Linked DNA regions of Pelodiscus sinensis. The protein of the gene in region 1 interacts with the protein of each later gene in a pairwise test. Links are inferred from orthologs where the notes say so. Each region holds a gene or a part of one and is shown on either strand. Other genes may lie near its edges. The genes, in order: AIRIM; keratin, type I cytoskeletal 19; VPS52; ZBED1.

The links.
Region 2: the proteins of AIRIM (region 1) and keratin, type I cytoskeletal 19 interact in binary tests that used the Homo sapiens proteins (3 or more experiments, as listed by UniProt). The two-hybrid records come from large-scale screens. The link is inferred for Pelodiscus sinensis from reciprocal best matches to the Homo sapiens genes AIRIM and KRT19.
Region 3: the proteins of AIRIM (region 1) and VPS52 interact in binary tests that used the Homo sapiens proteins (3 or more experiments, as listed by UniProt). The two-hybrid records come from large-scale screens. The link is inferred for Pelodiscus sinensis from reciprocal best matches to the Homo sapiens genes AIRIM and VPS52.
Region 4: the proteins of AIRIM (region 1) and ZBED1 interact in binary tests that used the Homo sapiens proteins (3 or more experiments, as listed by UniProt). The two-hybrid records come from large-scale screens. The link is inferred for Pelodiscus sinensis from reciprocal best matches to the Homo sapiens genes AIRIM and ZBED1.

The regions. Positions count from the first base shown.
Region 1 is NC_134735.1:10,126,073-10,133,114, forward strand, and holds the start of AIRIM (AFG2-interacting ribosome maturation factor), read right to left. Parts: upstream 3,019-7,042; 5' UTR 2,997-3,018; intron 2,989-2,996; exon of another isoform or gene 2,861-2,988; intron 2,579-2,860; exon of another isoform or gene 2,555-2,578; intron 2,526-2,554; exon of another isoform or gene 2,484-2,525; intron 2,387-2,483; exon of another isoform or gene 2,254-2,386; intron 1,382-2,253; 5' UTR 1,330-1,381; coding exon 1,058-1,329; intron 1-1,057. Other genes in the region: CDCA8 (borealin), read left to right, coding at 3,866-3,962, 6,220-6,348. UniProt on the Homo sapiens protein: Part of the 55LCC heterohexameric ATPase complex which is chromatin-associated and promotes replisome proteostasis to maintain replication fork progression and genome stability.
Region 2 is NC_134739.1:10,238,947-10,246,297, reverse strand, and holds the start of keratin, type I cytoskeletal 19, read right to left. Parts: upstream 3,013-7,351; 5' UTR 2,914-3,012; coding exon 2,476-2,913; intron 1-2,475. UniProt on the Homo sapiens protein: Involved in the organization of myofibers. Together with KRT8, helps to link the contractile apparatus to dystrophin at the costameres of striated muscle.
Region 3 is NW_027465970.1:106,908-114,870, forward strand, and holds the start of VPS52 (vacuolar protein sorting-associated protein 52 homolog), read left to right. Parts: upstream 1-4,947; 5' UTR 4,948-5,033; coding exon 5,034-5,102; intron 5,103-5,767; coding exon 5,768-5,852; intron 5,853-6,134; coding exon 6,135-6,187; intron 6,188-6,262; coding exon 6,263-6,338; intron 6,339-6,722; coding exon 6,723-6,871; intron 6,872-7,140; coding exon 7,141-7,316; intron 7,317-7,624; coding exon 7,625-7,775; intron 7,776-7,904; coding exon 7,905-7,963. Other genes in the region: RPS18 (small ribosomal subunit protein uS13), read right to left, coding at 973-1,048, 1,265-1,356, 1,794-1,895, 2,051-2,137, 2,789-2,887, 4,527-4,529. UniProt on the Homo sapiens protein: Acts as a component of the GARP complex that is involved in retrograde transport from early and late endosomes to the trans-Golgi network (TGN).
Region 4 is NC_134711.1:222,622,478-222,629,599, forward strand, and holds the start of ZBED1 (E3 SUMO-protein ligase ZBED1), read left to right. Parts: upstream 1-4,109; 5' UTR 4,110-4,135; coding exon of another isoform or gene 4,136-4,247; intron 4,248-5,470; exon of another isoform or gene 5,471-5,549; intron 5,550-7,122. Other genes in the region: DHRSX (polyprenol dehydrogenase), read left to right, coding at 4,136-4,247.

The DNA.
Region 1 (7,042 bases):
GTTGAAGAAAATTGTTGATGCCCATGCCCTAACATAATTTGACTATAGTGTGGGTTCTGGGGTGGGGCTGAAGATAAGAGTTTTGGGGTGTAAAAGGGGGCTCTGGCTTGGGGGGGGTCAAGGCTGGAGCAGAAGGGGCTTACTTTGAGTGTCTCCCCATCAGTGGTGCTACAGGAGTTCTAAGGCAGGCTTCCTGCTGCTCCCAACACCAGACCATGCTGTATCCCAGCCAATGAGTGCGTAGCGAGTGCTCGGGGCTGGGGAAGTGCACAGAGCCCTCTCCCACTAGGAGCCGAGCCTATTACTGGCTGCTGCTGGTGCACAGAGCAGTTTGCGGTGCCAGGACAGGCAGATAGCTGCCTTCGAACCCTCACTGGTCACTCTGCAGGAATGAGACCCAGTGCCTGACACTCCATGACCCAATACTGGGGTGTGACCCGTAGTTTGAAAACCATGGATAAAGAGCATGTTATTGAAAGTATGAACCAATTACATAACTTAGAGACATTGTAATTTGAAATCTAATGAATACTTTTAACTCCTTTAAATTATTAGGTATTACACATGGCTGAGACCTGCAGTTATTCTTGTGGTTTTACAGTTACCTATTTTTTTTAAATGTTTGTCCCACACAAATGCACATACTTCCCAGATTCTGTAAGAAAGACTGACACAAAATGAGGACAAGGCGTAAAAATGAATATTAACACTCGGCCAGATTCATAGCTATTGTAAATCAGCAAAGCTCCAGCAGGACTCAAAGGTGCTACATGGATTGACACCAGCTGAGACTCTGGCCCACCACATAAAGATGAAGTAAACAAACTGAAAGACAGAGAATAATTTTCATGTGTTATTATTATGTGTGTTAGGATAATAGCTGCAGCATTTCCAGAAAGAAGCGTGACACTTATCCCTTTGACTTGACTTATCCGCTCTCCTTCAGATGTGAACTCTGCAAATAGGCCAGACAGAGACATTCCAGCTCTCCCAGCATATCTGTCTGGGCTTTCATGATGCTCACAACTTTAAAGGTCTTGACACAACAGCCTCTTACACTTTGCCTCCCAGTTCTTCCAGCAGGCTCTCAGCTGCACAGCGCTGTTTGTACTTCAGCTGCTCTTCCAGATCTGGGAAACTCCGCAGTGGTGTATGAGCAAATGTGACCTTTTGGCAGGCCTGCATCTGCTCAGCCAGATTGCTGAGGGAGCTCAGAAGAGGCTTGCAATCCGTCAGCGCCTGCTGCCAAACCTCTTGCTGCTGCTGTACGGTGTGGAAGCACTTCTGCAGGGACTGACGGAGGACCAGAACGGCTGGGCTCTCGGACATCCTCTTATAGGCAGACCCAGAGTATAGCCCAGGATAGGCACCGCCCAGACACCTGCAATAAGCACACACAGGTTGTGACGGCGCGTTGGGGGTCCCCCGTCTCCTGCACCCCGAAATGGCACAAACATACTGCACCAGCCGGTGAAATAGAGGAAGTTTATTGCCTCTTCAGGATACAGCACAGCACAGATGTAATCTGGTCCCAGAGCTGGGCTAGGATGCCTCAGGCCCCCTTGAGATGGGGGGAGACTGGGCCCCTAAACTCCAGCCCCTTTCCCTAGGCTGTCTCCTCCATGCTCCCAGACAGCCACCAACTCACTCTCCTCCAGCCCTGCTCCCCAGCCAGGGCAGCCTCCCCCTTCCTTTGTTCCTCTCCATGGGGGGTGTCTGGCCACTGGTTTGCATAGTGACTCATCCTGTTTCGCTGGGTCGTGTACCCATGGCAGCCAGTGGGGGTTACCCCAGAGCCAGCAGCATAGAAACCAGCCAGGTACCCCCACTACGTCACACAGGTATAGAGGTTCTCCTGCCCCTCTGTCCATGCTCACCCGCCTGCCCACCCACCAGCGCCACTGACTGAGAAGCGCAGGCCTCAGGGGACCAGGCAGCTCCTAGACGAGAGTTTGCTTTAGAAACAGGAAACTGGGGGGGGGGGGGGGGCTTCTATTTATGGGGTGGACACATTTGAGGGTAGAGCCCCGCCCGAGTGGGGGGGGGGTGTCTCTACATGGGAGCCAACGGGGGCGGGGAGCAGGGCCCCAGGGGGTCTCCATGTGGGGGGAGGAGCATGGCTGGGGGGGGGGAGCAGGGAATCTGCATGAGGGGACAAAGGGGGAGGGGGAGCAAGGCCCCGGGGGGAGGGGCGGAGGGTCTCCATGGGGGGAGCCGGGAGAGCGGCAACCTGACCCCAGGGCCCACCCTTACCTGAGCCCCGCAACCACAGCGACGTCCCTGCCCCCGGCGCCTGCTGGGAAGTGTAGTTCCGCCCTACGGGCCGGAAATGACGCAGCCAGTTGGCGAAGCGGAAGTCTCCCCGTCGGCTCCGCTGCTGGGAGAGGTAGGGCGCGTTCGCCCTCCCGCCTCCCGCGGGCGGCCGTTGCCTGTGCGCGTGCGCCGCGCGCGCCGCCCCGCGCGCCTGATTGGGCGGCCGGGTTTGAATGTAGCTGCGGCGGCTCGCGCGCGTTGGGAGCGAGTTGGTCAGTGGGGCTGCGGGGCGCCGTGGGGCGCGGCTGGGTGGGGGCGGGGCGAGGTGAGTCCCCCTCTGGTGTGGGGGGGGGATGGTGAGGTGAGGGGACCCCGATGGGGGGGTAATTCTGAGGAGGGGGGTCCCGCTCTGCGGTGAAGGAATCGCGGGGCGTCGGGGTCCACTTTGCGGGGGGGAGGGGCGAGACCGAGCTGCGTTGGGGAAGCACGCGCGGGAGGGGGGGGACACCTCCAGACCCCCCCCTTCTGTCACGTGTTCCTCCCTCCTCCCCAGCAATGGCCCTACCCCAGGGCTTCCCAGCCTGCCCGCCCCAGTTCAATCACCTCCCGGTGTCAGCGTCTGGGGGGGTCTCGCTCCCAGGCTGCAGCGCCCCAGAGCCCTGTGGCTCCTTCAACGGTTTTATTTGGGCGCCCGCTTCCTCGGGTGCGCGCAGGGGGAGCGTCCGTTTGGCAGGGGTACGTACCTGGGTGGGAACCAGCCATTCCCAGGGGCTGCTGGGACTCCGTCGGATCGTGTCCATTTTGCATCTGAAGGTCCCGCTCCATAGTTTCCCCCGAAGTCTGTTTTCGAAGGTTTTTTTTTTGGCCAGGCCGGCAACTTGCAAGTCTGTTACTGAGCAGGAGCCATCGCTGTAAGAAATTGGGGCAGGGCAAGGGGTTCCCAGCCGGCTTTGTCTACAAGACAGAGGTGATGCGGATTGGGGCCGGGCATGGCTGTTCCTGACGCATCCTCATTCCAGGACAAAAGCATTGTGGGTCTGTTTAACTTCTTCTGCCCAGAGGCTCCAACCGGGGTCGGGAAGGAATTTTCCTCCAGGGTAGATTGGCAGAGGCCCTGGAGGTTTTTCGCCTTCCTCTGTAGCATGGGGTACAGATCACAGCTGGAGGATTCTCTGCATCTTGGGGCCTTCAAGTATTTGAAGGCTTCAATATCTGAGATATAGGTGAGAGGATTATTCTAAGAGGGGTGGGTGAGATTCTGTGGCCTGCACTGTGCAGAGGGTCAGACTAGATGATCATAATGGTCCCTTCTGACCTTAAAGTCTATGAGCCCTATGTTGTTCAGACAAGCCCATGCCGAGCTTTCAGCCCCATGCCACCTCTGGTGGAGCTACTGCCTGGTATTGGGGAACCACTCATCTGTCTGGGGCACCAATGCGTCGCTCTACGTTGTAGCTTGCTGTTGGCCTAGGAGCCCTGATTTTTCAATGAGGATAGAGCAGCAGTAGCTCCCAAAAGACTAGAGTCCTCTTGTCTCTAACTGGCAAGTGTCTCCTCCTTGTATGAATGCAAATGGCTGTTTCCGTTCTGCTACACAGATCTATCTGACACCATGGCACCATCCAAGAAGAAAACAAACAATGGTACCAGCAAAAACAATGTGAAAAAGAAAAAGCTGGCTGCATTTTTAAAGGACTTTGACTGTGAAGGTAACCATTCCACTCATTCATAAAACTTGTTCTCTACAAAGACTTTAGGGCCCTGAGTTGTTTTCCAGGTTAATTTAATGCATGTGAAAGTTATTGTCTTGACAACCCTGGAGACTAACACCTCAGAAAACTGAAGTGTTGTACAGGCAGGACAGATACAGCAAAAAAGCCAGAGCTTTGATCCAGAAGGATGACTTTGAGGAGTTTAAGAATGGTTTAATTCTAGATGCTCATGCAAACCTTGCCCTTTCTTGAGCGTCTGTGGTCGGGGGAGACTTGTTGTAAAGAGTGTGCTGCATTGTTGCTGTAGGGCTATCAGGAATTAAACTAAAATAGGAACTACTTTTCAGAGGTCAGTGGCAGCTGACAAATATTAACCATTGGGTGGTTGTCAATAAGATGTATAGAGAGACAAGATACGTAAGATATCTCATATTGAGCCAATTCTTGTGGGTGAGAAACAAGTTTATGTAAAGTTGTTCTTCAAGTTAGGGGAAATGTACTCACAATGTCACAGCTAAATACTAGGTGAAACAAATTGTTTAGCATAAGTGATTAACACACATTTCAAGGGACCATTCAATGTGAAGTGGCCATTAATACCTCTCCAGTGAGTTATAGATTATTGTAATAAGCCGTAAATCCAATGTGTGTCTATTTAGTTCATGATTTTTAGTATCTAGCAAACTTATGAATTTAAGTTCCCAGGCTCTTCTTTTGTAGGTGTTGTACAGGTTACCTTTGAGGATGAGGTAAGAGAGGTCAGACATAGGCTGATTCCTCTGCGAAAAGTGTGTGCCCGGAGGGAAAACAGTATTTTTGACTCTTATTATGTTTTGGTGTGAGTTCATTTTAAGTACATAGTGTTTGTCTGGTTTCACTGTTTCAATGTTACTGTGACACATTTACTACCATTGGGCGAGATACATCACATAGGGTGTGTCTAGACTACATGCCTCCTTCGAGGGAGGCATGTAGATTAGCCAGATCGGAAGAGGGAAATGAAGCCGCGATTAAAATAATCGCGGCTTCATTTAAATTTAAATGGCTGCCCCGATCTGCCGATCAGCTGTTTGTCGGCAGATCGGGGCAGTCTGGACGCGATGCGCCGACAAAGAAGCCTTTCTTCATCGGCACAGGTAAGCCTCGGCTTACCTGTGCCGATGAAGAAAGGCTTCTTTGTCGGCGCATCGCGTCCAGACTGCCCCGATCTGCCGACAAACAGCTGATCGGCAGATCGGGGCAGCCATTTAAATTTAAATGAAGCCGCGATTATTTTAATTGCGGCTTCATTTCCCTCTTCCGATCTGGCTAATCTACATGCCTCCCTCGAAGGAGGCATGTAGTCTAGACACACCCATAATGTGATAGACATGCTTACAAGCCATGGATTTTGAGGGGTGTGTCATTGCAGCACTGGAAATATGCTTACAGGTTTTTCTTTGTTGTGGCCGTGTCTGGTGCTGCTTTGAGTTAATGTCTTGGTCTGTGGAGGCCTTATTTCTGATGATGGGATTGGGGGATTGTATAAAGGCCAGAAGAGGGTTCAGAAAAGAAATCTTTCAGGATATCCCCATCAAGTATGGGTTGTAATTGTTTAATGATATCCTTTATGGGTTGTAGTTAGGGATGTAAAATCCTGTTTAATTGGTTAATCAATTAAATGGGAGCCGGGGAGTGGGGGCTGAGCTGGAGTGGCTCTCTTCCTGCAGCGTGCCTGGGCCCGCTGTGGACAGTGACTGCTCCGGAGTGCCCGTGTCCGTGGCAGGCCCTTGCGGGGCTATAACAGCTCCCCTGTCCATGCTTGGTGGGTAACTGCTCTAGCCCTGCACCTGTTAACCAGAACTGGTAAGCAATATCTGTTAAAGGTGATGCTTACTGATTAACCTTTCACATTCCTAGTTGCAATACAGGTGGTAGGTAACAATCTGTTCTACCTTTATGGAATTTTTCCATCAACCTAGCTAGTGCCTCTCGAAGCGGATTGCCTTCATTGATGGGTAAGGTAAAACCCTACTATTCCCTACTATTGGTATTAGGACTGTCTGTGCAGAAGCACTGTAGACATACTTTTATGCATTTTAATTAACTCACTTGGGATGAATGAAATAGATTTGATCAGAAAAGCGTGTTCATAAGGGAATAGATTTTTGCTGATGTTCAGAGAAACATAAATTCAAGCCTTGATGTGTAAATCCTAAATAATATTTTTGTTCTATATATTTGTTAATCGTACCATTTTCTTTTTTTCGTTTAGTCCAAACTAGAATTGATCAGATACAAACAAATGGGCGAAGTCTTCTCAAGGAGTTGGATAATCTTTATAACATAGAAAACCTCAGACTTCCTCTAGCACTGAGAGAGATGAACTGGCTTGACTACTTTGGTATGGTCCATCCATTCCCATATGTGTTGACAACATAATTTTGAGCTGTAACTGAGTTATGAGTTAAATTTATTCAGTTAGTGGACTTTGTTTCCCTCCCTCCCGATTATTTGGGCCGAGAGAATTGCCAGCCTCCTGGGCAAGGTGGGAAGAGACTGCTTCCATGCTCCCAGAAGGGCAGAGCTGGGGCAGCCAGCCCTCAGAGTCACCTGGAGAGTGCTAGATGGTGCTCCAGCAGCGATTAAAAGGGCCCAGGACTCTGGCCACTGCTATGACAGCGGTGGCCTAGAGCCCCAGTCCCTTTTGAATTGCTGGCTCCCGGGGCAACTGCTCCCTTCTTCCCATCCCCACCCTGTAGCAGGCCTGCATACAATGAATACGTAAACATAATTACTATTGATATTGTCATTGTTATCTATAATTATGTTATTTCTTTTATAATACATTGCATTTAAAGTCAGTATATTAGATACATTTATTTGTATGAAAGTGCTAAATCAAAATAAGACTTCACAAGTTTTTCCTTTGTATATCTTAAAGTCACTGGTACATGAGCCAATGTAAAGTGTGACACTGGATTAACTAGGTGTACAATCATGTGCTTAAAAATCTTTGGAAATAAGAAGAGGCAAATTGAATACCCTGTCCATATGGATTCATAAACAACCACAGATTTGTGGTTTAAGATAACTCT
Region 2 (7,351 bases), on another chromosome or scaffold:
GGGGGATATTTAAATCCCGACTGCATTTGCATTTCCAGAAAAGGGGTCCAGTGTAGACACAGCCCTGGAGTTTCCATACTTCAGAATTCGGAGTGAGTCCTGTATTACACTATGGACAACCACACAATGAGATTGATTTACTTATTTTTTTTCCTATACCTCATCTGACAAATTTACTATAAAAAACACCTTATAAGGGGTTGGGAAGGAATTTCCCTCAGGTCAGACTGGCCTTATTAGGGCCCCAGTAGCAGCTGGGAAGCCACCAACAAATTCCCCATGGCTAAAACTGTGGCATGAGGCCCATGTTAGCTGGTGGCCCCATTGGGGGCTGAGATGGGCTGGGGCATCCGACCAGGAGGAAGGGTGCAGGAGCTGGTGGTGACCTTTGGGAATCTCACCTTTCTCTGAAATATGCGGATGCGGGTCACTTGCAAGAATTATCTGGATATATCTCACTTTCTCATTTCCCTGCCATTGCAGGACATTAAGCATTGGTCCCTCCAGTTCTCCGCTTGTAAAATATAATAATCTAGTCTCCTGTTGGCTGTAATACTTAGCTCTAATTTTTATTTTTGTTTACTGTGTGCATTTTGGGTAGTGTTGTGGCACATGATTTACAGAATGTCCGAGTAGGTGATCTGGTAGTCTCATGTGGCCTGGGAAAGCAGGAGCTGCCTACTTTCATGAGCTGGAAATAAACAGCAAGAGCACAAGAGATTTCAGATTAGATAATTTAATCCCAGTGCTTCTTTTTAGGAGATTGGAATCAGTGCATTGTGCGGTGAGATAAGCCCAGGGGAAAGGAAACTGCATGGATTGGGTCATGAACTCTATGCTAAAATTGGAAAAATAAACTTTAGGTTTTCCCCATGAGATAAAGTGTTTACACAGATCAATCAGCCATCATGTATATCTTCTAGGGCGTGAACTACTCTGAATCAGTTACTGTTCACTAAAGAGTTTGCTAAGGCATAATAAATCCTATAGTTATATGATTTGTAGGCACTTAATTTAGTTAATGTCTCCTGTTTCTTTTTTAAGTACATTTTTAAATACTTCTTCAAAGTTCAAGCTCAGGAGGCAAAATAAAAAGGGCCAGAAAAATCTGTGTTGTGTTAAAATTCTGAAGTGCTCCAGTTCACATGTGCAAACCCCTCTATTTGGTCCGTTCTTATTTTAACTGTAAAGAGATGAGTTCTCTTCTCCGATAACTGTTAAAGCAGTGCGCGCACTGGCTGTCCAGAAGCTTAAACAAAAGCGTATGATTGGTAGGTGACTGCAGAGATAAACAGTTATCCACGGTAGTTTTACAAAATTTAAACTAGTGGTCACCAACCAGTAGGTCGGGAGCTATTGTTCGATCTTGGAGCCTCTGACAGGTGATCCTGACTGGTTTGACCAACAGGCTATTAAGTGCCGGCACTTCACCTGCCCCTTCCTGAACTGCTGCACATCTCCTGCCCTTTGCCTTGGAGCTGACCCGCCACCCCCACCCCAGGCCTCCTGCTTTATTTGCAGGGCACGGGAGGGAGGGAAAGGGTGCTGATGTCAAGGTACCTTCTCTCCCATTTGGTATCCTATCTCCACAGAGCAGAGAGGGGGCACAACAGGACTTGGGATGGAGTTTGCTGGCTGCATTTTGGGAGAGGTGCAGGGCTAGGACAGGGTGAGCCTGCCTTACCTGAGGTCAGCAGTGCCCAGCTGGAGCCCACATCCCAAACTCCTACCCCAGTCATGAACCCCCTCCTTCACCCTAACCCCTGCCCCAGCCCTGAGCACCCCTGCAGCCAGACATCCTCCCAGAGCCTGCATCTAGAACCCCCTTCTACTTCCCAACTGCTTGCCACAAACCCCTCTCACACACCAAATCCCTTAATCCTCTCACACACCAAATCCCTTAATCCAAGACCAGAGCCTGCACCCCAACCCTCTGCCCCAGCCTGATGAAAGTGAGAGGATGGGGGAAGGAGGGAGGACAGAGTGAGCAGGGGCGGGGCCTCGGAGAAGGGGCACAAAGGAGGCAGGGTAAGGGTATTTGGGTTTGAGGTAGATCTTGAATTGCACTTCAATTCAGAAAGTGATCTTGTGCTTAAAAAGGTTGGAGACCCCTGATTTAAACAGAAGTGTAACACAGCCATTTAGCTAACAATTTTAATAGGAGATACATTTCATACTGAACATTGCCATTGTCCATCTTTTTTGAATCACTTCCTACCCACATCACTTTTCTACTCTTCCATAATCCACCATTCCTTTTGGCTAAATATCTACTGGGGCTTTTCTTTTCATTTCTTATTACATTTCAGAAATGCAATGGAGGCCAAATATGTCTTTCATAGTTACACTATAAAACAGTTATTATCTGCAAATAATTTTCTTTCAGCTGTTAAAAGCAGTCACACTATATGTGTGTTGTTTTAACAAATATTTTGGACTACCCTTAGATGCTTCTTAACAAACTTTAACACCAACCTTGTCTCGAAGATCTTCAATAGTTTTGTAATATAAGCTGTAGTCATGGGCTGGCCCTGGTCCTTGTTTCTGGTACCAGTCTCGGATTTTAATTTCTAGGTCAGAATTTGCCTCCTCCAGAGCACGTACTTTGTCGAGGTAGGATGCCAGACGGTCATTCAGGTTCTGCATAGTTGTCTTTTCGTTTCCAGAAAGGAGGCCATCGCCACCACCAAAGCCACCACTAAAGCTACTGTATGACCCCCCATCATATCCAGCACCCAAGCCACCTCCGAACCCAGAAGAGACAAATCGAGCAGTAGAGACAGAGATATCCCTGCCACCAGATCCCCCATGGACACTCGGAGTCCCGAAGAAACCAACAGCTCGTCTGGCTGAGGGACCACTAAAATTACCTAAGCCCGAAGAGGTTATTTGCTTCAAGCTGTAAGTGGACATGCTGAGTAAATATCAAGAATCCTACTCTAAGCACAATTCACACAGTTTGTACTCTGGAGGTAGGAGTGAAAGACTCTCACTCCGACCCTGCGTCTTTTATGCTTGTGACAATGGGAGTTGTCCATAGAACATGATATGTAAGCACTGTGGAATTCATCAGCCCTAAGCTTTTTGCCAGCATTGAAATTCTTCTTATTGGTCAGTTGACATGAAGTGGGCTGTGTCTCTTATCCAAATACTTTCACACATACCAGATTTCTTTTTTTCCCTCCCCTCTCTTCCTCTTCAGACAAAAGGTGTGTGTCTTTCGGCTCAAAGAGACTTTTGTGACTCTACAGTGATAGTTTACTTCTACGGAAACAAAAGACCTTTAAGCACACACTCTTCAGCAAGGTACAATGCCTCCTTTGTGGCACTTTTGTGAAGACTCCCACAAGGTAACTGAAGGTGTACAATGAACAGTAATGCACTTAGTGGCTGTTAGGCTGCTCATAGAACCTTGTATAAAGGGAGCCCAGATGACAAACTGCACTGCAAGGAGTGAGCTTTGGAAAAATAGATTCCCACACTTACCCGCCTTTTTTGTTACTTCTCCTGTAAATTCCGTCTTTGGATAAAAAAAAACGTTTGAAGCACAAGCTCTTTGCTCTCAGTTCCTTCTGGGAGGACAACTGGACAAAGGGTTTGATTGTGGAAATGGCTGACATGAAAATATCTGTTTCTTTTCTAAATATGGCAAGTCTCTTTCAGTGGCCACGGTTTGATTTATTTTCCTAGCCTTAATTCATAGAATTACAGGACTGGAAGGAGCCTCAAGAGGTTAGTAGTCTGTTCCCAGCACTCATGGCACAATTAAATATTACCCTAGCCTAGATCATCCCTGACAGCAGTTTGTCTAACCTGCTCTTTAAAATGAGGGGAGAGGGAGAGCTCAGTGGTTTATGCATTAGTCTGCTAAAGCAAGAGTTGTGCGTTCTAATCCTCAAGGGGCCCTTTAGGGACCTGGGGAAACCTGTCAGGGATGGTACTTGGTCCTCCTGTGAGGGCAGGGGGCTGGACTCAATGACCTCTCAAGGTTCCTTCCAGCTCTATGAGCAAAGTATATCTCCAATGATGGAGATTCCACATCCTTCCTTGGCAATTTATTCTAGGGCTTCGCCACCCTGACAGGGAGCTCTTCCTATTATTTTTCAGATAATCCATGGGTTCCCAAACTGGGGGGCATGTCCCCCCTGAGGGGACATGATGAAATTCCAGGGGGGGGTGGGCATGAGGCAAACCAGCTCTCCCTCCCACAAAAAAAATGTTGCTGCTATTTTTGTTTTTCAGCCTGTCAGTTCTCTCTTTTTTTTTAGCTTAACCAGTTTTGCTGCTATTGGGGGGGGGGGGGGCATGATGGTTTCTCAAAAATCAAAAAGGGGGCGTGATGTCAAAACGTTTGGGAACCACTGCTTTAAACCGTCACTGTCTGAGCATTTCTTGTGTGAGCCGATCAATTGATCATAAACTCATGTGTCACTTTGCAAAGGGCAAAACTGGCAGGAGAACAGCAGCAGGTGGAGCAGTATCCTTTGACATTAATGAAATCGGTATTTCTAAAATGTGCGAAAATCCTTTATTATCCAAGAATTGGACAGAAAAGTCTTGCTGTTGGTGCTTCTAGCATATCTACAGGCCTCCCTATCAGCTGGGATTTTGCTTCTTTTTCTTCTGTTGCTTCCCCTCAGCCCCATCCAGAAAATGTTACTTAGAGAATGACAGGAGCAAGTGCACTAGCGTTTTGCATTGCTGTGGATCAAGGCCTCAACCGTGATCAGTCCCTACTGGGAACTACCTGGATCAGGGCCACAACCCTCTTCCCAGCCTTTCCTGCCCCAGCACTCAGCTCCTGCCCCTCCCTCCCAGCACTTTCTGCCTGCCTTGGATTGAGTGGCATGCAGGAGGCACTTGGGAGGAAGGGGGAAAGTGTGGGCAGGAAGAGGTGAAGGAGGTCTGAGAAGAGACAGGCAGGTGTGGGAGGGTGGAATTGTTGGGGTGAGGGTGGGGCCTGCAGTGGAGCAGGTGTTGAACACCCCAAGGCAACTTAGAAAGATGTCCCCTGTGCACTTTGGGTACAATCCGTACAATACAAAAATAAGAACACGAGAGAGAAACCAAACAAAATACCCACTCCAACTCAGTGCCTGTGGATGATTCTCACAGACATAGTGAAACGCAGCAGGTGTTTAAAAGTGTGCAGCAAAATTATACACTGCTTGTCCAGTTTAATAGTACCGGCAGTTCTGCACGCTATTTCTTCGCCAAGTTTCATTGGGACTCAGATTCGAGAGGACAGAAATTTGAATGAACAGATCTATAGATTGTAGCTAAAGCTACAGTCTAATTCAACAAAGGCTTGTATGCTAGCTGGGCTTGTTTTCTTCCTTCTTGCTTGTTTTTATAAGTCTTTTTCAAACATGTCACAAGATCAATCACTGGCATTGTTGTTTTGAAGGCTTGTGATTTACGCTTATATTTAAAAAAACCGAAAAAACAAGGAGTCCTGTGGCACCTTAGAGACTAACAGATTTATTAGAGTATAAGCTTTCATGGGTAAATTTCACTTCATCAGATGAAATAAGGTAGAAGTTACAGAAGCAGGAGTATATATAAGGAAAAAGTTACTTGTGTTAACAAAGCTTATCAAGTCAGGGAGAAGTGGGTCATTCACAGCATTTGGTGTGGAGATGTGAATATCCAGATGGGGAAATTGCTTTTGTAATACCTTAACCAGTTTTACTATTTCTATTTCGTAACGGATCTAAGCCATTGTTAGGACTCCTTTTGTTCATAATATACATTAAAAACTTCGTATTGGTCCTGGGTCTATCAAACATGGATATTTCCTTAATGTCTTTAGCTTCACTCATCAATTTTCTATACTTCATACCTTCTAGTTTATATTGATTGCTATTTTCCCTTTTTCCATTTGCTATACAGTGGAAGCTTTGTTATCCAGCACTCTGTTAACCAGAAAACTTCGTTAACCGGCATTGCTCCCAGTCACAATACTGTCACATCTTCAGGCGCACAGGCATGGCTTGGTTTACCATGACTGGCTTAACAATTTTTTACGTAAGAAGTACTAATCATCTTTAACTCAAAATAGAAATGTGAGATCATCTGCCTCCCACTACAAAACTACCAATATTAAACACTTGAGTTTTACTATTATTGTCCATTGGTTTTTCCTAGGTTGATGGGACCCTCAGATAACCAGAATTTTTGGATAACCAGAATGCCCTAATCCCCGAGAGTGCCGGATAACACAGATTTTACTGTATATTGCTTTTTCATTTCTAATTGCTGCTTTCATTTTGCCAGTAAGCCAATAGTGATTTAATGATGATACATAAAGAGCAAATACCTGTACATTAGATGGCATAATTACATAGAGTTGATAGTGATATGGTCACTGAGCAGTATTTCCCAAAAGTGGGTCCCAGCCCAGCTGTGGGAAACCTGTAGATGTGTTACCATATCTAGGGCTTGATTAACCTTGGCCTGGGCAAATATACACTTCTTCCAGCATGGAGGAGAAACATGGTGGGATAGGGTAAGTTGTGGTGCAAATCCATCTGGCACTTCCCTCCCAGCAGCAGCTCCAGTTCTGCATGGCTGGGCCTGGTTTTCTGCTCCGTGTGTGCCTACCTGGCTCATGTTACAGCACCAAACTTGAGTGAGTCTGTGATCCTGTGCATCATGTCACCATGCTCGGACTGAGGAGCCGTGACCAGCCCCATGGGATAGAACAGTGTTTCCCAACCAGGGTTTTGCGGAACCCTGGGGTTCCACAGACCATCGTCAGGGGTTCCGTGAGAAACCGTGGAATAAATAAATACACTTTTTTTTCTTACAATGTAAGCTGACATATATATATAACGGCTCTTGACAAATACATTTTCTTGACAATAATTTAGTAGTAATTGAATTGAGCTCCCTGCTGTCAACTTTTTCTAGCCAAGCAAACGTTTTCATAGGAAGGGGTTCCTCGGGATATGAAAAATTATTTTAGGGGTTCCTCCATGAGAAAAAGGTTGGGAATCACTGGGATAGAAGGTACCTCAGAACCTCAACTCTCATGGCCTCCTCTCCACACTGGGCCAGGATTATAGTTGTGGTACCGGAGTAGAAAGTACATATATGTAATGGTGGGTTGTAACCAAAGACAATTAGCAGTTGATGTGCTGCCTTAGTTAAAGTTGTGAATCACACCTCTAGAAGCAGCACGGTTGGATTCCTTTCTCTCAATATGGGCTACTGTGTTGAAATAGCTCTCAAAAGATTGTGGTATAAATATAGAGCCTTTAGGAAGAAACACTGGTGACAGTTTTGCCTACAAAAGATCTGAGTCCTCCTCAGCCTAGGACAGGAAAAACCTGCCCAACAGGATCCAAGT
Region 3 (7,963 bases), on another chromosome or scaffold:
ACAACTCCTAGGGGATGTGCTAGTAAGAGTTTGGAATTTAATCATTTAGAGAGAACTTGTAGGCCCAACAGTTCCAAAATCCAGACCATGGAAGGGGGGCAGGGCTGTAAGACTCAGAGGCATCAAGGTAGCATAAATTGGGTCCAATACAAAGCAGACCGATGGGAGGACATGAAAAACAAACAAACAAAAAATCCAAAGTCTGCTAGCACCTTAAAGACCAACAAAACACGTAGATGGCGGACAAGTGGACAGCCTTGGAACATTACGAAGTGCTGTTACAAACAAGACAGCCTTGAAATAGCACTGGGAGGGAGACCCCAACATACTGATGTCAGTGAAGAACTCCCAGATAAACAGATATTAAGCAGAACAGATGGTGATTAAGCACTGATGAAGCAAAACGCATAGACCTGCATGGACGGAAAGTCCTATCAAAGATGGAGCGTTTTGAACAAATCTCCGGGTGTCATGAAAATCGGAGCAGCCACCCAGACTGAGAAAAGGCCCCGATCCTCCCCCGCGCACGTAACCTGCCTGGCCAGTGAGTTAATGCGAACAAGACTGGTAACCCTAAGCAATGACAAGGTGTGGGGGCTTGTGTTTGAGGCAGAGACGGTTTCCTACTGTATTCTCAGTAAATGCAGCGTATTGCCTTCTCCCGAGAAAGATCCCCTGTGCTTCTTATAAGCATAAGAGGGGGGCTGTTTGCACAAGAATGTGGGGGGTTGTCAGAGCCCCCTCAGGCACGCTTCCAGACCTAGCACTGGGGCAGGCGCCCCTGCATGGCGGCATAGAACCCAAGCCAGAGTGATCTTTTCCCACCTCTGCGTCTCCCCACAGCCCTTCCACTCAGACCCTGACACGCCCCCCCCCATCTCTCCCTGCTGGAGTCACTGACTCCTAGCCCCCCACACAGAGCGAAGCAGCAGCTGTGAGAATAGCACTTTATTGCAGACAGGGGGGCAAATTCTACTTCTTCTTGGAGACTCCGACGGTTCTGCCCCGGCGCCCGGTCGTCTTGGTGTGCTGACCTCGCACACGCAGCCTGGAAAGAGAGGGGGTGAGATGGGACCAGACCCCAGCCTGTCCTGCCCCCCAACCACCACTCCCAGTTCCAGGCATGACTCCCCAGGCTATGGATCCGCCCCCCAGCTCCGCATCATCCCATAACCCACCCCCACAGCCCACTTGCAAAGTCTGTGCCCAGTTCCCGTCCCCTTATCCAACTCAGCAGCCTGCTCTACCGCCACCCTCTCCGTACCCCCAGAAGTGGCGCAGGCCCCGATGTGCCCGGATTTTCTTTAGCCGCTCCAGGTCCTCGCGCAGTTTGTTGTCCAGCCCATTGGCCAGAACCTGAGGGTGAGAGACGTGGGGGAGGGCAGGTGAGGAACAGCCAGACTGATCAGAGCCCAACTCCCCGCCTATGCCAGGGAGCAGCCCCGGCCGGCCAGAGCCAGGGGCCTGCAGGAGCAGCTTTGGGATAATCAACCCCTGAAGCATGATCACTGGAGAGCAGAGATGGGAGATCCCCGGCCGGTGTCAGCAGGAGCTAGTTCAGCCTGGATCATCAGCCCTGGATCGCCACTGAACTGACCCACAGCCGGGGCAGAGGGTGCCGCAAGCCAATCACGGGGACGTCTCCTCGCTCATGGACTGGGATACGCAGTGACTTGCGAGACTCCTAGCGCACCCAATGGGCTGGTGCGCCCAGCACACCCCAAGCCCCCCGCTGCCTACGGAACCCCAGAGCAGCCCCTGCGGCTGGAACAAGCCCAGCCCCCCGCTCTCACCTGGCTGTATTTCCCGTCTTTGACGTCCTTCTGCCTGTTGAGGAACCAGTCGGGGATCTTGTACTGACGGGGGTTCTGCATGATGGTGATGACACGCTCCACCTGTGGGGGGCAGAGATGGGGTCACCCCGGAGCTACCCCACGGCTCTTCACCCCACCCAGCCTCCCTATCCCATTCCCTCCCAGATAGAGCTCAACCCCAGCCCCTCCATACCACTTTCACCCCGAAATGCCAGCTTCCCTTAGAGCCCCCTCACCTCGTCCTCCGTCAGCTCCCCAGCCCTCTTGGTCAGGTCAATGTCGGCTTTCCTCAGCACCACATGGGCGTAGCGCCGGCCCACGCCCTGGAAACGGGGGAGCGAAATGTTAGCATGGGCCAAGGGCAGGGGCCCAGCATCCCCCCCAAAGCAGCTCTGTCTCAGACGCCGAACAGAGCGGAAGCCCCACCAGCATGGGAGAAGCTGCCACAAGGGGGGACAGCACAGACCCGGTTTAACCCCCCCGAACCCCCAGCCTCGCCTGCACCCCACGCAAGGAGATGGCTTTGTTCCCCACGCAGTGTGGGGATCACCCATGTCTACGGCTGCTTTTGGCCCTGGCCCCCTTGTCCGTCTCAGCCGTGCAGCACCCTGCCTGCTCCGCCATGACGGGTCAGCCCTGGACCCCCAAGCACCCTGACAGGGGCTCACAGCAGAACCCCACCTCCCCGAGCAGAGCACCCCACGGGCAGGCTGAGGCGCTCGGATACGTTCCCAGGGCAGCCGGCCGTGCTCCCCAGCGGCGGTACCCTGGCCCCCTTGTCCGTCTCAGCCGTGCAGCACCCTGCCTGCTCCGCCATGACGGGTCAGCCCTGGACCCCCAAGCACCCTGACAGGGGCTCACAGCAGAACCCCACCTCCCCGAGCAGAGCACCCCACGGGCAGGCTGAGGCGCTCGGATACGTTCCCAGGGCAGCCGGCCGTGCTCCCCAGCGGCGGTACCCTGGCCCCCCTCACCTTGATAGCGGTGATGGCGAAGGCGATTTTCCGTCGCCCATCGATGTTTGTGTTGAGCACTCGCAGGATGTGCTGGAATTTCTCAGGGATCACAAGAGACTGGGGGGGGAATAGAGGGGTCAGCACTGGAGAGCTGGGCTCGCTCTAATACCCCCCCCCCAATACGCCCCATCAACACCCCCGGCCGACCTTCCCAGTGGGGGCAGGCTGCACACAAACCCCAGACCTCCCGGTGCTACCGACAGCACCCCCCAATATGTCCTGCTGCCTGGCCCCAGGCCCGCCTCCCCAGCAACCTCCCCACTCGCCCGAACCCAGGCCCACCCAGCCTAGCCCCATGCCTCCACCTGCATGGCCCAATCCCAGACCTAATGCCCCCTCACAGCCTCACCTGCCCTAACCCAGGCCTACACAGCCCCCATACTCCCCCCTGCCTAGCCCAGCCCCAGACCTACCCCTCCATATCCCCACGAGCATAACCCGGCCCCAGACCTACCCCTCCATATCCCCACGAGCATAGCCCGGCCCCAGGCCTACCCCTCCATATCCCCACGAGCATAGCCCGGCCCCAGGCCTACCCCTCCATATCCCCACGAGCATAGCCCGGCCCCAGACCTACCCCTGATACCCCCACGTGCATGGGGACGGACAAGGGGGCCAGGCCCCAGACCTACCCCCCCATATCCCCACGAGCATAGCCCGGTCCCAGACCTACCCCCACGTACATGACCCAGCCCCAGACCTAGCCCCCCCATATCCCAACATGCATGGCCCAGCCCCATAACCACCCCTGACACCCCCACGTACATGGCCCAGCCCCAGACCTAGCCCCCCCATATCCCAACATGCATGGCCCGGCCCCAGACCTACCCCTGACACCCCCATGTGCATGGCCCAGCCCCAGACCTACCCCTGACACCCCCACGTACATGGCCCAGCCCCAGACCTAGCCCCCCCATATCCCAACATGCATGGCCCGGCCCCAGACCTACCCCTGACACCCCCACGTGCATGGCCCGGCCCCAGACCTACCCCTGACACCCCCACGTGCATGGCCCGGCCCCAGACCTACCCCTGACACCCCCACGTGCATGGCCCGGCCCCAGACCTACCCCTGACACCCCCACGTGCATGGCCCGGCCCCAGACCTACCCCCGACACCCCCACGTGCATGGCCCGGCCCCAGACCTACCCCTGACACCCCCACGTGCATGGCCCGGCCCCAGACCTACCCCCGACATCCCCACGTGCATGGCCCGGCCCCAGACCTACCCCTACCCCTGACACCCCCACGTACATGGCCCGGCCCCAGACCTACCCCTGACACCCCCACGTGCATGGCCCGGCCCCAGACCTACCCCACTCCTCTCTAAGCGGCTCCGGCAGCAGCCAGCCCCCCTGGAGCCCCATAGCCCCTCCAGCAAGCAGAACGGACAAACCTCAGCCCCCCCACCCCCCAGACGAGCCAGCAGGCACCAGGCTCTGCCCCGCTGGGCCCATCCACTGCCCCCGGCCCGGCCCCCCGGGAGTCCCCAATTCGGGCCTCCCCGCCCTTCCCGGGGCGCGCTCGCGGGGCGGATGGACCCCGACTGGCGCCCCCGCCCCGGCCCCCCCGCGGGAAATGGGGGGCGCCCCACAGAGCCCCGGCCCCACCCTCACGGACGAGCCCCCCCCCGGCCTGCCGGGGCCCCTCCCCGGGGCGGATGAACCGAGATTCCCCCAGCCCCCCCGCACTCACCATGGCGGAGACTTCGCGCTCCAGTCTCGCCCCAGCCGGAAGAGGGAGCGGAAGTGACGTGCAGCCTCTTATACAAGCTCCCGCCCACTAGAGGCAGATAAGCTTCCGGTCAGGGCAAGACAGCTTCCGGCAGAAAACCAGACTTCCGTGTCCTCCCCGTAGTCCTTCCGGTCAGCCTCACACGGAGTGCCAGTAAATTAGCCCCTTCCACGCTGTGCAACAATCAGTCCCGTCCGGGTATGAAACCTGACCCATGACACATGGTTCCTAGGGGGTTATGTCCCTCCGTTCCCCTGGGGCTGACTCCCTTTAACTCCAGGGGGGATTTTCATAAGTAATCACCCGCTTCCGTGCCCTGGGGGGGGGCTTTGCTACCCCATTTCCGGTACGACCCCGCCCCATCCGGTGCATCATGGGAGTTGTAGTTTTTCAAGGCGTGCGGCCGGAAGTGAGCCCTTGGAGACCCGGAAGCGGCGGTAGCGAAGGAAGCGTGAGGAGGGGGGGACGATGACGGCGCTGGGGCCCGACGAGGAGTTGGGGCTGCGGGCCGCCGAGATGGAAGACGAGGAGGGCTTGGTGAGGTGCCCCCCCGCCCGACTTCCGGTCCCCCGGCACCCACTTCCGGTCCATGCAAAATTGGCCCGGGGGGGAACCGCCCCCCCGGGCTCCAAACTGCTCCCCCCGCCTGCGGGCGCTTTTCTGTGAACTTTGACCCCCGACCCCGTGACCTCCAGACCTAGGTGCGCCCTGACCCCAGCATGACCCCTCCATCCCCACTCTGCTCTCCCCTCCCTGTTGTGTGACCCCTGACCTAGTAACCTCTGACCCCCCTGGTGCCCTGACCTTTGACCCCACCCCTTGCACTGGCCCCCCTCCCTGTGCTCCCCCAGCCCTGACGCGGGGACTGGCAGACTCACCCGGGGGGGGCTGCCGGCTCCCCCCCCCGTGGCCCCTGGTGAGTGCGACTGTCCCGCGCCCCCTCCCAGGCGCAGCCCACCCGGCGGTGAGCTGGGGGCCGAGGCAGCGCCAAGCCTGGCTCCTGCCGCTCCCCTGCAAGGGGCGGAGCTGCTGGCCTGGCCGGGCCCCCAACTCCCTAGAGACGGTGTGATGTACCGTGTGACCCCTAGCCCACACCCCGTAACTCGGAGCCCTGTATTGCAGCCTCTGGCCTGCGCTGTGCCTGCCCATGCCCCCGCAGTCCCCCCGGCCCCCTACGTAACAGCCTGACCTGCTCTCCCTAGGGGTGTGGCGAGGAGCAGTCGCTGCAGCTGAACTTGGGGGACCTGGACCTCACCTCTGATGAGTTCATCCTGGATGAAGTGGACAGTAAGTGCTGGGGCAGGGAGCGTACGCAGCCAATGGGGGGCAGGCAAGTGATCTGTGGAAGTGCGGGGGGGAGGCATGAGGTGGGGATCTGAGAGGGAACAGGGGAGGTTGGAAGAGCACTGAGAGGTGGGGGGGAAGCCGTGAGGTGGGGGACACCAGGAGTAGTTTGGGCCTATGAGGGGATTGGAGGAGGGTGGGGGAATGCAGGGAGGTGGGGCACTATGGGGAGGCAGGTTTTGGGGAGCACTGTTGTGGGTACTGACCCAGTCTGCCCTCCCGCAGTTCACATCCAAGCCAACCTGGAGGACTCCCTGGTTCAGGAGGCGCTGAAGACTGTAAGTCCCCCCTCCACCCCCGGGCCAGGGCCCAGCTGCCCTGCCCCAGCTGGTGACTGACCCCTCTCTCCCCAGGGCGTGGACCTGCGGCAGTACTCCAAGCAGGTGGAGCTCGAGCTGCGACACATCGAACATGCCTCCATCAAGGACTGTATCCTGCCCCCCCGCTCTCCGGGCACCGGGCAGGGAGGACCCAATGTCGGGGAAGGTCCTTGCACCAGGCAGAAAACAGGGCCTGGTTTACGTGCAGGAATGATGGAGGGCAGGGGTGTGACCTCCCGCATCGCAGTCCCCATGTGCGCGCAGCCCTCGTGTGCACATAGCCATACTTCATAACACCCTGGCGCGGGCCGGGGCGAGTCCCAGGGTCAAACCTCTCCCAGAGATTCCACATCCGCACTTCCAGCTGTACCGCTGTATTGGCTGGGGTGTCTCTCTCCGTGTCAGTGCAGAGGGGTGTCCAAGGGCAGCCCCCTCCCCAGAGCCTTCCTGCTGCCTGCACCCCCATTTCCTTAGCCGCCCGTGTGTCCTGCAGACATCAAGGAAAGCAAGAACATCACTTCCCTGCACAACCAGATCACAGCCTGTGACGCCATCCTGGAGGTGAGCCCCCCGCCCCCGGGTTCCCCCTTTCCTCTTGGGAAGCCCCGCCCCCAGGTCTCGGCCTGTGACGCCATCCTGGAGGTGAGCCCCCCTGCTCCTAGGTATCCCCCCATCCCCAGGTCTGTGATGCCATCCTGGAGGTGAGCCCCCCTGCTCCTAGGTATCCCCCCATCCCCAGGTCTGTGATGCCATTCCAGAGGTGAGCCCCCCGCCCCAGGGTCCCCCAACAACATCCTGATGCCCCCCCGACTCGCCCCAGCCCCCCCGATCACCGTCTGCAGCCTTGGCCCCTGTGCCCCCTTGCTGGGAGGAGGGGGCTGCGAGTCTGACGGCTCCGCTCCCGCCCCCAGCGCATGGAACAGATGCTGAGCTCCTTCCAGTGCGACCTGAGCAGCATCAGCTGCGAGATCCAGACGCTGCAGGAGCAGTCAGTGGCCATGAACCTGCGGCTCAAGAACCGCCAGGCTGTGCGCAGCCAGCTCAGCCAGCTGGTGGACGAGCTGGTGGTGCCGGCCACCATGCTCAGGTGGGGGCAGGGGCTGGGAGCCGGCTGCTGTGGTCAGGTGGGGCAGGAGCTGGGGTTGGTCGTGCTCAGGTGGGGGCAGGGCTGGGGGCTGGCTGCTTGGTCAGGTGGGAGGAGGGCTCCTTGAAGGGACAGGCTGGGGCCAGCTGCAGCTATTGGGGAAATGGGAGTCATGGATTGGACACCTTGGGGAAGGCCAGATGTGGGGGGTCTGGAGAGCTGGCCACAACCGTGGAGGGGGTGTCTCTGGGCAGAGCACTCAGGCTGGGGAGGTGTGACCCTGGGGTGCCCGTCTCCCTGCCCCCCTCCAGCACCATCCTGGAGGCTCCAGTGACGGAGCAGGAGTTCCTGGAGCAGCTGCACGAACTCAACAACAAGATCAACTATGTGAAGGAGCAGGCCTTCCGCGAGACCATGGCCTGCGCCGACGTGCACCACGTGCTGGACCGGCTCAAGGTCAAGGTGAGGCTGGGAGGGTCTGCGCTCACATGCATGTTGTGGGCAGCCAGGGGGAGGGGGTCACTGAGCTCTGCCCACCCTCTGGTCTGTGACCCCCCCCCCCCCCCCTTGTGCTCCCCTCCACCCTTGCAGGCTGTGACCAAGATCCGGGAGTTCGTCCTGCAGAAAATCTACTCCTTCCGCAAGCCCAT
Region 4 (7,122 bases), on another chromosome or scaffold:
AAAAATAATAAAAATTCTGTTTTAGGTCAACTTGAAATTTTTTTTTTTGCAGACTTTTTTGTTCAGCCACCAACAATTATTTTGCTCAGCTCAAGTTGTTAATCCCCTTGATATCATGATTTTTCAGGTGTTTATTTTTTCTGTTTTAAATTATCATTTCATCTAATTTTCCAGCTGTAAACCATACTGATCTGTAATCCACTACATATTGAGTGGTCCCTCCCCCATTGTCCAGTCTCAGCTTCTGGAAGTCTGATGTCCTTAATCTCCATGAACATATCTAATTCGTTTTAACCCAATTATCCTTTTGGCCTTTACAACATCCTGTGGCAAAGAGTTCCATACGTTGACTATTTTATGTGAAGTACTTCCTTATGTTTGTTTCAAATGTGATGCCTATTAATTTCATTGGATGACTTTTTTGTATTATGTATAGGGGTAAATAATATTTCCTTATTCACTTTCTCAATGCCCTTCATGATTTTATAGACTTCTAACATATTCCTCCTTAGCCCTGGTCCAGTCTACAAATGTATGTTGATATAACTGTATTGCACCTTAGTGATGCAGTTATACTGACCTTACTCCTGGTGTAGACAGTGCTATACAGGCAGTCCCCGACTTACGTCGGATCCGCACTTACGAACGGGGCTTTCTCGCCCTGGAGGTCGAGGTGGCGGATTGCTACCTGCGAGCTCCAGGGCGAGAAAGCCCCGTTCGTAAGCTGCTCCGGTGCCCCTGCTCCGGTGCCCCTGGACGGTCCCCAGCAGACCACAGGCACCGGGACTGAAGTGGCAGCCGCGGCGGGTCCTGCGCCTCTGAGACTTTGCCAGAGCAAAGCCTCAGAGGCGCGGCACCCCGCTGCCGCTGCGGCTCTGCTCCCCGTGTCCCTGGTCTGCTGGGGGGGGGGGGGCGCAGCTAGTGTGCCCCCCCCCAGCAGACCAGGCTTTTGTTTTGGACCCTGGGGCAGAGCAGCTGGGGCGCTGCCGATTGGTCCTGCAGCGCCGCTCTGGGCACTACTGGACCAACCCGGCAGCACCCCAGCTGCTCTGCCCCAGGTCCTGATTCAGCCACTGCTGGTCAGTTTCAGCAGCGGCTGAATCAGGACGCCTGGGGTAGTGCAGATGGGGTGCTGCTGGGTTGGTCCAGTAGCACCGAGGAGCGGCGCTACTGGAGCAACCCAGCAGCACCCCAGCTGCTCTGCCCCAGGCGTCCCCAAGTCAGCTTCTGCTGAAACTGACCAGCGCTGACTACAGGAAGCCCCAGGCAGAGTTGCTCTGCCCTGGGCTTCCTGGAATCAGCTGCTTATCAGTTTCAGCAGCAGCTGACTTGGGGACGCCTGGGGTTCTTAAGTTGATTCTGTATGTAAGTCAGAACTGGCGGTCAGTTTCAGCAGCGGCTGAATCTGGACGCCAGTTCTGACTTACATACAGATTCAACTTAAGAACAAACCTACAGTCCCTATCTTGTACGTAACCCGGGGACTGCTTGTATTGATGGAAGGGCTTCCCCTATTGTCACAGTTACACCTTTGGGAGATGAGGTACCCACACCAAAAGGAGCAGGTAGCATCTTTACTAAGCACTGTATCTGCTCTGGTGCAGCCCTAGAAGTATAGCTAAGCCCTTAGTTGTCTCCTTTTTTAAAATCGAACCATCTCAGCCTTTTAAATCTCCATTGAGATAGAGGCTGCTCCATATCTCTAATCATTTTTGTTGACTTTCTCTGTACTTCTTTCCAGTTTCAAGATATCTTTTTGAGATGGCTAGACCAGAACTGAATGCAGTATTTAAGATGCAAGGATTTAACATTGATTTATATAATGACATTTTTTCTGTCTTATTATCTATCCCTTTCTTAATGATTCCTTACATTGTGTTATTTTTTGACGGATGCTCATGAAACAGATGTTTTCAGAGAAATAGCCATGATGACCAGAAGATCTCATTCTTGAAAGAAAAAAAACAAGAAAAGAGAGAAAAATTTATTCTTAGTTAAATATACTGGTAAAAGACTACCTCTATTGAAATTATCATCATCTTAACTCATTGTATTTCTTGATATGCAAACTGGAGATAACATTTATATTTATATAGCCACTTGAGATCTGTGCTAAGTGTTATTATTTATTAATAATTTAAGACTTCTGATTAGCTGCTTCCTTCAACTTATGACATATAAGAATGCAGGCTTTGCCATTCTGTCTCAAGTGACAATCATGTAAAATTAACTGAAGATTTAAAATCAAAAGCTGAGGATAACTTGCTGCTTACTTCTATAAAATATTGAGATATTCTGGTCACATGGCTGAAATGAAATTTAGTTGTCTGCTTTGGTAGAAACTTGTGAATAGTGATTTAAAGTTAAATGGTATTCAAATTAGAAGGCAAAATAAATTTAAAATCTGTATATTTTACTCCTACTCTGTATATTTTACTTCTACTTAGGCTGCTGCAATAAAAAAAGATAACTCAAGGGTGTCTGGTGTTCAAGATGCCACAAATTTTGCCTGAAATGATCAAAGCTTGTTTTATTAGGCAAAAGTCACCAACTTGTGTCTCAGAGCTGGAGACTAGTGGAATAACTTGGTTAACTCTTTATAATGACACAGCAGATTTGACACGTTAGTTCAGCTTAGAATAGGCTATGACCATCTATTCTACCAGGTAGATATTTACAGTAGATTCCACAGTAACAGAAACTATATATAAAAATGGCATCACTGAATTGACTAAAAGGAAGCTCCATTTCAGATACTGACAACTACTGCTAGTGAGTCACTGATGTTGCCCTGAGGCTTACATGATTTACAGAAATTCCATTAGGTGAGACTGGGAGTAGAACGGATGTTAAATTTAACAGAGCAAAAATTTAACCTCTGCTCTTTCCTCCCAAATGTTCTCTATTCTCTTTCCTCTGTCACTGCTAACACTGCTGTTGTCTCTGTAACTGAAATCTATAATGTGGGAATCATCTTTGAAGCTTCCCTGTCCTTTATCCTACAAATCCAGACTGTGTTCAGTTCTTGCCTCTTCTTTCTCCAAGATACTTCTACAATGTGACTCTTTCTGTCCACACAGTTAGACTTCTTGTCCAGATCCTCTTAATTTTCTGCCTTTATTACTATAACCTCCCTGTCTCTGGGCTCCCATACTCTGGTCCCTGGAAATCTCTAATCTCTTTAAAGTGCAGCTGCTAAAATCCGTGTGCATGGACTAGATGATCTTGGAAGTCCTTGACAATCTTGTCTGCAGGAGACTGATGTGTAAGATAATAAACTCCAACATTATAATAGATCATGATGGAACACATGGTCACAAACAGAGGCAAAAAAGAAGAGGTAGAGTGGGGAGGTGAGTGGTTAAGAAGGTGATGGGGGCAGCATTGTTCAGTTTCTCCAGGTCAAATTACAGAAGGGGCCCTTGTGGTCACTTGGTCTGACTCCCTGTGTAACACTGGTCATGAAACTTTTCCTCATATAACTCCTAGGACATGCTTTTTTAAAAAAAATCCGATCTTAATGTAAAAGTTGCCTGTGATGGATCCTTCCCCACAACCCTTAGCAATGTTGTTTGCACGGTTCATTGCCCTCGATGTCAAAGCTATCTGTCGCACATTGTATAACACAAGAGCAGCCGGCCTGGCCGCCTTCATATGGCTGTGGGGTCCCACTGGACCGAAGCTCCCTTTCGGGAGGCACCCCCAGGATCCCGTCACTTTCCAGCTGCTCGCTTCTCCAGCCTGACTCCTCAGCAAATACACAAACAGCCCTTTCGCAGCCAGCTGGCTCCTGCCTCCCTGCCAGCACCTCTCCCCGACTCGGGTGGCCCCGTCTGACCCGCGCTTCTCCGCCACTCACCCACCCACCCGCTCGGCGCCCAAGGCGCCTCTGGAGGCACCGGGCTGCGGGGCCGCTTCCCCTGCCCCCGCCCCGGCGCGCACATGCCCAGAAGCGAGCGGCGGCGCGTCCGGGCGGTGCAGCCAGTGACAGCGGCGGCGCTTTCCCTTCCGCTGGGTGTGGGCTCTGCAGCGCCGCGCCCGCCCGGCCCGGGAGCGGACACAGACACGCGAGCGCAGGGCGGCGCGCCGGGGCCCCGTCCCCTCCACTCCCCGCGCCCAGGGGCCGGAGGCAGCCATGTCGCTATTGTCTCGGGCGCTGCCCGCGCTGCGGCTCTACGGCACCGGCCTGGCCGTCAGCCTGCACCAGCTGCTGCGCCGCCTGCGCCCCGGCGGGGCCCCCGCGCCAGGTGAGAGCGCGCAGCTGGCCCGCGCCCGGCGCTGCAAGGGGGAGCGCTGCGGGCACTCAGCCCGCTCTCCCCGGCCGCCCTGCCCCGCTTCCTCCCCGCGCGGGCTGGGGGAGGGGGAAGAGGCGCGTGGCCTGACCTTGTGAGCGCCCCGGGCCACAGCTCCCTGCCGGGGCTGCTGCACCGCCGGGCCTGGGCCTGGCCGCTGCTCCCCCCCCGCAGCGCGCCCCAGCCTTGCCCCGGGCTGCTGCCGCTGGGCCCGTCCCCTTGTGACTTTGCAGGCGGTTCCTGCGCTTGCTCGTCCCCCTTCCCCAGGCGGCTGCGGCCCGAGCTCAGCAGCCGGGGGAGACACCTGCGCACGCCCCCTCGCTGCTGTGCCGGCCCCGCTTCCTTCGCTAGACCCAGACAGTCGCCGCTTTCTCCGTTGCTGGACTTGCACCGGCCGCTGCGGTAGCCCCCAGCCAGGTCCTTGCATCTCTCTCTCGCCGCTGCTGGTCCTACCATGAAAAGTAGCATCGTGGTTAAGTTACTGGGCAGACTGAGCTCTGGGTTCGGTTCCCTTCTATGCCCCAGACGCTCTGCCAGACTTGATCAGGCCTGGTTTTTGATCCGGGTGTGCCTCAGGTCACGGCCCCCCATAGGTTTTGAGAACTGATTAGTGTTTGTGATGTGCTCCAATGGCGATTCCTTCTAGGTTTATCCCCATGATAATACCTTTCACCAATACCAAGTAACTTCTGCTGCTGTACCTACATTCTGAGCTAAAAGCTGCTGCTTTGCCTGGCTCCCTTCCTCAGGCTCCATCCCACACCAAGATACTAGACTAGAGCCCTCTTGTTTCTCCTTCCCTACTTTTGAATTCTACCACTCCAGTAAATTCCTCCATCTCCATTAAACTTGCTCACCTGGCTTTATTCCTGCACTCTTCTGGCCACTTAAGTTACGCCTCCAGCATTTGACAGTGGTGAATTTCTTCACTGAATTAGACTCTCATAGACAGTTAGTCTTCTCTTTTTCCCCAGGCATTGGTGGGAGTGTTGGTGTTCATATTCTGAATTCAGAATATATATTGTCATTAATTGCCAGCATATAAGGTGACAATTCGTTGGCATTCAGTTTGCTCTGTAGAGATTTAGCTTAGCTCTTTTTCTGACAATTTTGTGTTACATTTGTAAATTATTTTTATGGTCAACTGAAAACTTAATGATGATCTGTTTCCCCACATTAGGTGTCTATGAAGGAAGCTTAGGGTTTCCAGAAATGATTTATCTGGGAATCCCCTCAGGCCAGATATCAACGCAATAGGTATCTTAAATTTAAAAACAAATTGATTTTTTTAAAAACACCTGAATTTGTTGGTGCTTCTAAGAGCTCTCTGCAGCTTGTGAAGGCCTGAAAACTATATAAATAGCAACAGAATCATGAGACTCTGTAAAATTTTGCTCTAGTTTGCTTCAGTTTACTTTCTTTCTCTGACTAGCTTCAAATGTGGCTCTTATGGAGGTGTTGGTGGTTTTAACAAGAATAATAAAAATGTAGATGTATGAATGCAGTTCAATGAGATTATTTAAAATATGAGGTCCAAATCAACAGATTATATAGTTGAGGTACTGTGGAGAAGAGAAAATAAATTTGTGATAACTATTAATTTTTGTAAAATTAATGCAAAGACAGGACATAACAGATTTCCACCTATGGATTCATTGGGTAATGTTTTTTTTCAATATTAATAATACTAATGCAAATTTGGGCTTTGCTTTCTCATTCTCAAAAACATATAGCATGCCAAAAAGAAAAAAAACAAAACAGATCTGTGCCTACAGTTTTATGTCAGCTGAGCATTCTTCTTGCATTAGTTTTTCTTGGCAGATTAAAGCTGTGTATTATGCCTCATGTGTGTAATAATGCTTTTAATATAATTTAAAACTGAACAGAAATATGACAAAGTTTGAACCAAACATTTATAATATTTTAATCTTTAATAGCATTAATAAATCAGAAAATATAAATAATTTGTTTGAAACACTGATTTAAAAACAATTTGTCAACAAGAATATTTTGTTATAGACAGTAGGCTAGTCTAGATAACATTTCAGTATGATTACAATATGATAAAAACAACACTTTAAAATATAAAAATAATTAAGTACATTTTATAACTGACATAGTTAATCTTCAGAGGGGTAATCGAGTTAGTCTGTACAGGATAAACTTAAAAAACAACAAATAGTCTGGTAGCATTTTAAAGACTAACAAAACATGAAATCATGAGCTTTCGTGGGCACAGCCCACTTCTTCAGATGACTGGAGTGTTGGATGTCCAGAGCCAAAAATAAGTGATCTGCTTTTATTGGAATACATCAATAATTGTGTGAAGAAGTTAGTAAACTAAAAATATTTTGAAATACAGAAGTTGAAAGCTTTTTCTATCCCTTGTAATCCTCAATTCTCAAAATACAATTTTTGGTAATAAAAAGATACATAAATCAAATATCAGTTGCCTTATCATGAGAGACATCACAAAAAACTTTGGGGGGAAGGAGAGAGTGGAAGAGTTGTAGTTTCACACCCAATGCTCTTGGAAAAGGACTTTTAACTTATTTGATCGCAGCTACACTGACAAACCACATCGCCAAAAATCAGCATGGCTGTGTCTAGACTGGAAAGTTTTTCCACAAAACCATCTGCTTTTGCAGAAAAACTTGCCAGCTGTCTATACTGGCTGCATGAATTTCTGGAAAAGCACTGACGATCTCATGTAAAATCATCAGTGCTTTTCCGGAAAAACTATGCTGCTCCCGTTCGGGCAAAAGTCTTTTTCCGAAAGACTTTTGCGCAAAAGGGCCAGTGTAGACAGCATAGTACTGTTTTCCGCAAG